2 linked regions of the Coturnix japonica genome follow. The protein of the gene in region 1 binds, or shares a complex with, the protein of each later gene. Links are inferred from orthologs where the notes say so. Each region holds a gene or a part of one and is shown in the gene's direction. Other genes may lie near its edges.

Region 1 (3,751 bases):
TGCCTTGAAGCCACCCGGTGCCTCTCCTTGCTATTGGAGCTGCCCGATGAGTGCAGCGAGGTCCCCCCGCCGCCCCCATCCTTCTTCCCCCCATGTCTCTCTTGGTTTGGCATTCCTCCTCCTCCACTGTGCTGGGACAGGGGGAGGCGGGGGCGCTCCTCCAAATCCTCCTCGACTTTCCAACTCCCTCAGCCTCCCTCTATTCGAACCATTCACCGCCCCCCGGCACCTCCTGCTGCATGGGGAGCGGGACGGAGAGAGCGAGGAGGAAGGGAACAACGGGGAGAGGGAGAATGGGAAAGGAACGGAACCGGGAGCGGCGGGGAAGGACACCGGGCCTCAGCGCCTCATCCGAGGGGCCCAGGCCCGGAGGGCAGCGCCGCCGCGGGGGGAGCCCCGGGAAGGCGGGAGCTGGGCCCACGATCCCTCCCGGTCCCGTTGTGTCCGGTTCCCTCCCGCCCTGTCCCAACCCTCAGTACCGGGTTCCCACCGTGCGGCCCCGTTCGGTCCCCGCCGCCCCGGCCCGGCCCAGCGCCCCCCGCTCACTTCCCAAAGCGAAACGGCTCCTCGGCCCAAGGGGGGCACCCGCCAAGTCTCGCGAGATAACTGCTGCTTCTCGCGAGACTCGGCCTGAGCCCTCCCCCCGCGAGATTTCAAGCGCTGAGAATTGGGAAGGCGGAAGGGAGTGCGCGCGCGCGCACCGTCTTCTCGCGAGGTCTGAGAACGAACTTTACTCCGTCCCGGGGAGCGCACGAAGCCCCGCCCCTTCCGCCCGCTCAGCACCAATCAGCATCCAGGGGGCGGGGCTTGAGCGCAACGCCCCGCCCCCTAATCACTCCCCCTTCTCACCATGACTCCCTACCTCTCGCGAGACTCAGAAGTTCTCGCGAGAAGCGGGAGCCGCGGCCGGAGGGATGGCGGCGGGCGCCGCCGTGTGAGGCCGGAGCGGAGCGGCCCGGCCGCGGTTTATCCCCATCCCTTCCCGTTTATCGACGTGATACCGGCCCTGTGGCTCCGCCGCGGGCCGCCCCTCCCCTCCCTGAGGCATGAAGGCGGTGCCGGGAGGCGCTGAGGGTGAGTGCGGCCTAGCGGGGCTGCGCTGTGTGGAGGCGGAGGGAAGGCCCGGCCTCCTCGGGATGGGGGGGGTTCCACAGCTCGAGGGACGGCGGTTGGGCCTGCAGGGAACGGCGGAGCCCGGCCGTGGGGTCCCAGTGGGTCTCTATGGGGTCTCTATGGGTCCCTATGGGTCCCTATGGGTCCCTATGGGGTCTCTATGGGTCCCTATGGGTCTCTATGGGTCCCTATGGGTCTCTATGGGATCTCTATGGGTCCCTATGGGTCTCTATGGGGTCTCTATGTGTCCCTATGGGTCCATACTCACCATGTGTGGGTCGTCGGGTCCCCTCCCCACTTTGGGTCTCTATGGATCCCTATGGGTCCCAGTGGGTTTCTATGGGTCTGAATGGGCTTCAATGGGGTCCCCATGGGTCTCAATGGGTCTCAAAGCTGGGCATTAAGCAGCTCCAGAGCGGGGCTGTGGTGGATGGAAATAAAGGCTGATGGGCTCCTGTGGTAGCGAACCGTTCGGTTGTTTGTTCTGCTTTGATTTGATGGGGTTGGCATTAAGTCCATGACATCTGTGTGTATCAGTTTATAAACCCTTCTGATTCTATAGGCCTTGTAGGGTCATGTTCTATGGCAGTTATGTTGCCATAGACTTGTGTTGGAGCCAGAAATACCTGGTATCAGGGAGATGCCTTCCATAACAATGTAACTTAATAAAGTGCTACAATGAGTTTTAGAGCCCCACAATGTATAGATTGGATTCAGCACACATTTATAAAGGCTGAGTGTGTCCCGGCTTGGAAGGGCTGTGCAATCAGCTCACGTTCTCTTTTGTTTCTATGTTTTCATTCCGCTTTGTCTGACAGAGGCAGAGAAGCTGAATAAGATGAGTGCTCTCTTAGAAAGACTTCATGCAAAGTACAACCAAAACAGACCTTGGACTGAAACCATGAAGCTGGTCCGTCAAGTCATGGTGAGAAGTGCTGGGGTTTCCTTTACAGTGATGCTCAACACTCAGTGTTATCTCAGTCAGATGCAGCTTTGAAATACCTTGGTGAGGGTAGAAAGGAGTGGGAGGCAGGGAAGAGCATCATCAAAAGCTGCTGTATGTGTTGTGGTGTTAAAGTTAATCTCTCTTTGTTTCTCTTGCTCCTCTCATATAACTCGTAGCTTATGCTATTTAAGAAGTTGTTGCAGTCTGATCTTTCACAAGAGCAAGCTTAATAATCAATTCCAGACCTGCCTGTTTTACCCACTGCAAATATGGATATGATTCTGGTACAGGAATCGCAATGAGGGTGTAATTTGGGGATGAAATCCAATCTGCCTTTAATTACCTGAATAAACCTCACTCGACTGAATGAAAATTGCAGTAATTTTCCTCTCATGGAGTGAAACTTTAAAACGACTGTTTTTCTTCTTTCTGACGTAGGAAAAACGACTTGTGATGAACTCTGGGGGGCACCAACATCTGGTGAGCTGTTTGGAGACCTTGCAAAAAGCATTAAAAGGTTGGTACGTGCTGTGCCTGCACTCAGGAAATGCTTAACAGTGATATACTATGGAAATACTCTGTATTAGAGGAACCTGCGAGGTTATTGCTTGCAAAGCTCAGTGTGCTCGTGGTGCTTATAGAAGCATGCTTATTTCTTGTGAGTCATTATCAGCCAAAATTGCCTGTGTTGCTTTTATTCTTATTGCCCATACATGGATTCCACTTGTGGATGAAAATCCACACTGAGAATGTTTGTTTTTCTCTATGCAAAACGATTCTTGTTTTTTGAGTATGGAGTGGGTGTGAGTAAGTAGTTGGGATTGCTTTTAATGCTGATACATCATTACTGGAAAGATGTTCAGTCGTATCACTAAGGCTTATTTTTGCTTTCTTTGTCTAGTGTCTTCTCTGCCTGCCATGACAGATCGCCTGGAGTCCATAGCCAGACAAAATGGGTACATCTTCTCCTTTGTTTCACAGCAGTTTTGTATCTCCTACTTATCTGTATACATCATAATTTTGCTGCTGGTTTGACTGTTTCTTGTGTGTATCTCTTAGTAATTTTTGCTTTGTTTTGTATTTAAGCCTTGGATCACACCTCAGTGCAAATGGCACCGAATGTTACATCACTTCAGACATGTTCTATGTGGAAGTCCAGTTAGATCCTACAGGGCTGCTATGTGATGTCAAGGTGGCTCACCATGGAGAGAATCCTGTGGTACGTATTGCTAAGAAATACAAGAAAAATACCTTTGTTTTTGGAACTGCAGTTTTGCTTCCCTTTTTCTTGTGCAGAGAAAATGGATTGTACTGAACATTCCCCCAAACCTAATGTTATATCTGCTTGTTCTGCTGCTTCTGAAAGTTTCATTTCTGGGGGAAGAATAGGGAAATTAATCTTGTATTTGTGAGTGTTTTGTTGCTTCTCATCAAAACTGATGCTCACAGACTTCACTGTCCTGATATTTTACAGCTGCTGTGCTGCACAAAGACTTACACTGAAGCATTTGATGTTGATTTTGCTGTGTGTTCTTTCCTTTTCAGAGCTGTCCAGAATTGGTGCAACATCTGAGGTGAGCAACAAGAGCTGTTGCATCATTCTGATTTTGGTCTGATTCTGTTTTATGCTTGGAAACACAGAACGTTTCTGAACTGCTCTTTCCCCATGAAGTCTCTCCCCTTCTCCAGGAG
Region 2 (3,651 bases), on another chromosome or scaffold:
AACTCATTTTGCTTCCACTGTAATAGTAAATTGTATTCAGTTTGCAGGATATTTATGAGATCAGTCATATGTAAAGATTATATCTTTAAATCCATGCTGAAATGTTCTGATTTTATATCCAAAACCGAATTCTTATAATTCTGAAGTGCTTATGAACATCATTGATTTGGGGTCATTATTGCCTGGCTGTTTTGTTGTACGAAGAAATTACATATTGTGTGTGTTGTGATCCAGAAATAGGCAAACAGATTTACAACATAGCTGAGGTTAATAGTTTTCAGTGGAAGGAAAGCAGTTAATAATGTACATGCAAACTTCTTTGTGTAAATTAAATCTCATTTATTTCAGTCAATTAGAAGCTAAAGCTGCTGTTAAAAGTTGCTTATTTGATGGATCTGAAGTCCAAATTGAGAAGCCAAAGTGACCAAATTATTTTAGTTCCATAATTTCTATTCTATTTTTAGATAAAAATGTCATTTTTATGAATCATAGAAAACTAAATATGAACACTTGTTATGAGTCAGTTTGTGAACTTTTTCATAGTTGAAGTTTAAGTCAATGATTTTTGGTTCATCTGACTGTCAGATATGCATCTGACTCAGATTAACATTTTATTACTCAGTCTAAATTTATTCAGTTTGCCAAAGATTTTCACAGGCTGAAGCTTTTTGTTTACAGCATAAACATACATGAGATTTAAAAGGCTATAAAATAACTTTCCTCGAGCCTTGCATTTAAGATTCTGATATTAACACTTTGCATCTCGGTCCTTTGGGCAGTAGACAATTAGGCCTCAACTTTGGCTCAAACACATTACAGAAATAAGTAGCATCTTTAAAAAGCCTGTTTCTTCTTTTGTTTTCAGAGATTACAATGGTTGACACAGAAATGCCGTTTTGGCCCGTTAATTTTGGAATTAGCCCAGTGGATCTGTCTACGATGGATGATCATATGCATTCCTTTGACATAAAGCCATTTACCACTGTTGACTTCTCAAGCATTTCTTCACCACACTATGAAGATATACCTCTTGGAAGAGCTGATCAAACGAGCATGGATTATAAGTATGATATCAAGCTCCAGGATTGCCAAAGTATGTTTTTTATTTTTCAGTGTTTCTTCGTGCTCACATTTGCTTTGTTCTCCAGAAATTGTACCACCAGCAAAAGAACTGGATGGATTCAAATGCCTAAATGCAGAGACTGTGAATCCAAAAATCAACAGAGATATCCACGTGATATCCTGATAGGACAGCCTTCACTCAAGTAGCCTCTAGTGATTAGACAAGGCGTCATATAGTAACACGCAGCATACATAGAAAATAATAATACACAGAGCTTTTGAATTCCATACAGGCTAAGAAACTGATGGAATAGAAATATTGGCTGCATCTATGTTGGTAAAACAGTGTTCCTTGAAGCTTTGTGACCTAGTATTATTTATATGGTACAAAAAACCATTGCCTTTCCCCAGTTATGTAAAGACAGTACACAGAATTCTCCTTCTAAGGAGGAAAAAGTAAAAAATAAAAAAATAGTAGTCTACTCTGAAATAAATTGCTATTGCATTCCTGCTCATAGTAAGAAGTCAGGTTGCTGTGCCTGGAACTTTTTTAAAGATCCTCTGAGTCTATTCAAATCTGACATCACTTTTGTAGGAATTTTTCATGAAGATTATACTATTTAGTTTTGTAGTAGAGTGAACCAGGTGCTGTGTGCTTCTGAGTTATTTATGAAGTGAATTAAAATACACTTTACTGCTAATAATTTATTTCTCTTTTGCTTGATTAGAAAATTCCATAATATTTTCATAACAAACTAAAGAGTTGATTAGCTAAATCATTAGGCATGCTAAATCCTCTTGGTCTTTTCTCAGCTAATTTTCTGCTTCCTTTTTTCCTGTAGTTTCTGTAGGAAAGAAAACTTCCCGGTTTATTTAGTGTAGCCAAACAGAAAACAAAACATTCACGTTATGGTAATACTGCATCTGCCATGTAATTCCTGAAGTATGATTTGATGTAATGTTATATATGGTGTCAATTGTCACAATTGCCTTCTTTGATCAGCAGTGATTGATTTAAATATGTCATACTTATAATATCGAATAAGCTCAAGCAACCACAGTGTGCTCTCAATACTTAGAAAATTTGGGAATATTCATCTCTAAACTGCATCCAAAGTTGAGCAGTCCTGGGAGAGAGTTAAATTTCATTAAATACACAAATTATTCACTGTAGGTTAATTAGATGCTTAGGTGTTTTTCATGGGATCAGTGTGTCCAGTTCAACTCTCTGCAGTAGTCTGAACACCTTAAAGTCACCTAATTAGATATTAATAAAAGGAATAAGACCTTTTAAGTAGGAGGTCTCTGTATGCAAATTTTACATGTCTGTATTAAAGTCATTCTGCACTACAGAGCTGGAAAGTGAATTTGTGACATGATTCCTATATGCCTCTTCAAGGTTTTCAGCCTACATACTACCAGTGAAATATCTGCATACAGCTTATACTCCCTAACATCCTTTGTTTGCTACCATCATTTTGTGTTACAAAGCATACCTATGAATCTGGCTATGTTTACTGTGATTGTTTCTGATTCTTCCTTCTACCATATTTTTACTCATACTTTGAATTACTCATTTAAATCTTCTCTATATGCAGGTGCAATCAAAATGGAGCCTCCTTCTCCACCCTATTTTTCTGAAAAAGTGCAGTTATACAATAAACCACATGAGGAGTCTTCCAACTCACTTATGGCTATTGAATGTCGTGTGTGTGGGGACAAGGCCTCTGGATTTCATTATGGAGTTCATGCATGTGAAGGCTGTAAGGTAAGTCATTGCAAATCTGTTTTCTCTGAATATTTGGTATTATTTTCATTTAAATAAGCTTTAAGTCTTTTAAATTGTTTCTTTATTAATCACTTATTATTGATTTCAGAAAGTACATTTAGACTGTCAAAAGACAGACCTGTGAATTTCCATAATGATGTCCGTCCTTACAGGACCTCATAAGATTTCTGTTTAATAATTACCAAGAGTTTGGTATCAAGTTTCTGAATTTTTTCATGTGCCAGTGTACTTTGCAAACTTGTAAAATCCTAACAACAGGAATAAACTAGAAAATAAAACATCAAAGATAGAACCCGGAAATATACATTGTGAAATTAGGTTAGCACAGTGCAAACAGAAAGAAATAGAGTGACTGCTTGTCCCATGAGCCCTAAAAGCCCTATTTCCGTTTCTTGGGCTCACAGTTTCTGTAGTACTGTTAATTTATGTTCATAGCATCCTTCCAACCCCATTCATTCCCATTAGTTTTTATAGATTTTTTATTTTTTATTTTTTAGACTTTTACCCGTATCAAGCTGGCAGAAAATGGCTTTAGAATGGGAGCATGCTGCTGTGCAGATATGATGACACAAGCATTGCTTTCTTCAGAAATCTGTCTAATACAAAGTTAGACTGTGTACATGCAGAACTGTGCTTTGCGTGTCTATACAGAATTGAGACAGTGACACTGGCAGTGCTTATTCTACCTTTTTACATGCTTTTATGTTTATTACAGGGCTTTTTTCGAAGAACAATCAGATTAAAGCTCATTTATGACAGGTGTGATCTTAACTGTCGCATCCATAAGAAAAGCAGAAATA

Evidence for each region.
Region 2: the proteins of MED1 (region 1) and PPARG are in contact, whole or in part, in a crystal structure (PDB 6ONJ), measured with the Homo sapiens proteins. The link is inferred for Coturnix japonica from reciprocal best matches to the Homo sapiens genes MED1 and PPARG. Residues at the interface, in NP_004765.2 of Homo sapiens: Asn638, Thr639, Asn641, His642, Pro643, Met644, Leu645, Met646, Leu648, Leu649, Lys650, Asp651; in NP_056953.2 of Homo sapiens: Val321, Gln322, Thr325, Glu326, Lys329, Phe334, Leu339, Asn340, Asp341, Gln342, Val343, Thr344, Leu346, Lys347, Gly427, Leu429, His494, Pro495, Leu496, Glu499, Ile500, Lys502.

Annotation. Positions count from the first base shown.
Region 1 is NC_029542.1:3,842,836-3,846,586, reverse strand, and holds the start of MED1 (mediator of RNA polymerase II transcription subunit 1), read left to right. Parts: upstream 1-869; 5' UTR 870-1,046; coding exon 1,047-1,074; intron 1,075-1,931; coding exon 1,932-2,038; intron 2,039-2,497; coding exon 2,498-2,576; intron 2,577-2,960; coding exon 2,961-3,015; intron 3,016-3,145; coding exon 3,146-3,278; intron 3,279-3,604; coding exon 3,605-3,633; intron 3,634-3,751. Other genes in the region: CDK12 (cyclin-dependent kinase 12), read right to left, coding at 1-113. UniProt on the Homo sapiens protein: Component of the Mediator complex, a coactivator involved in the regulated transcription of nearly all RNA polymerase II-dependent genes.
Region 2 is NC_029527.1:3,245,519-3,249,169, forward strand, and holds part of PPARG (peroxisome proliferator-activated receptor gamma), read left to right. Parts: intron 1-865; 5' UTR 866-873; coding exon 874-1,093; intron 1,094-2,660; coding exon 2,661-2,830; intron 2,831-3,566; coding exon 3,567-3,651. UniProt on the Homo sapiens protein: Nuclear receptor that binds peroxisome proliferators such as hypolipidemic drugs and fatty acids.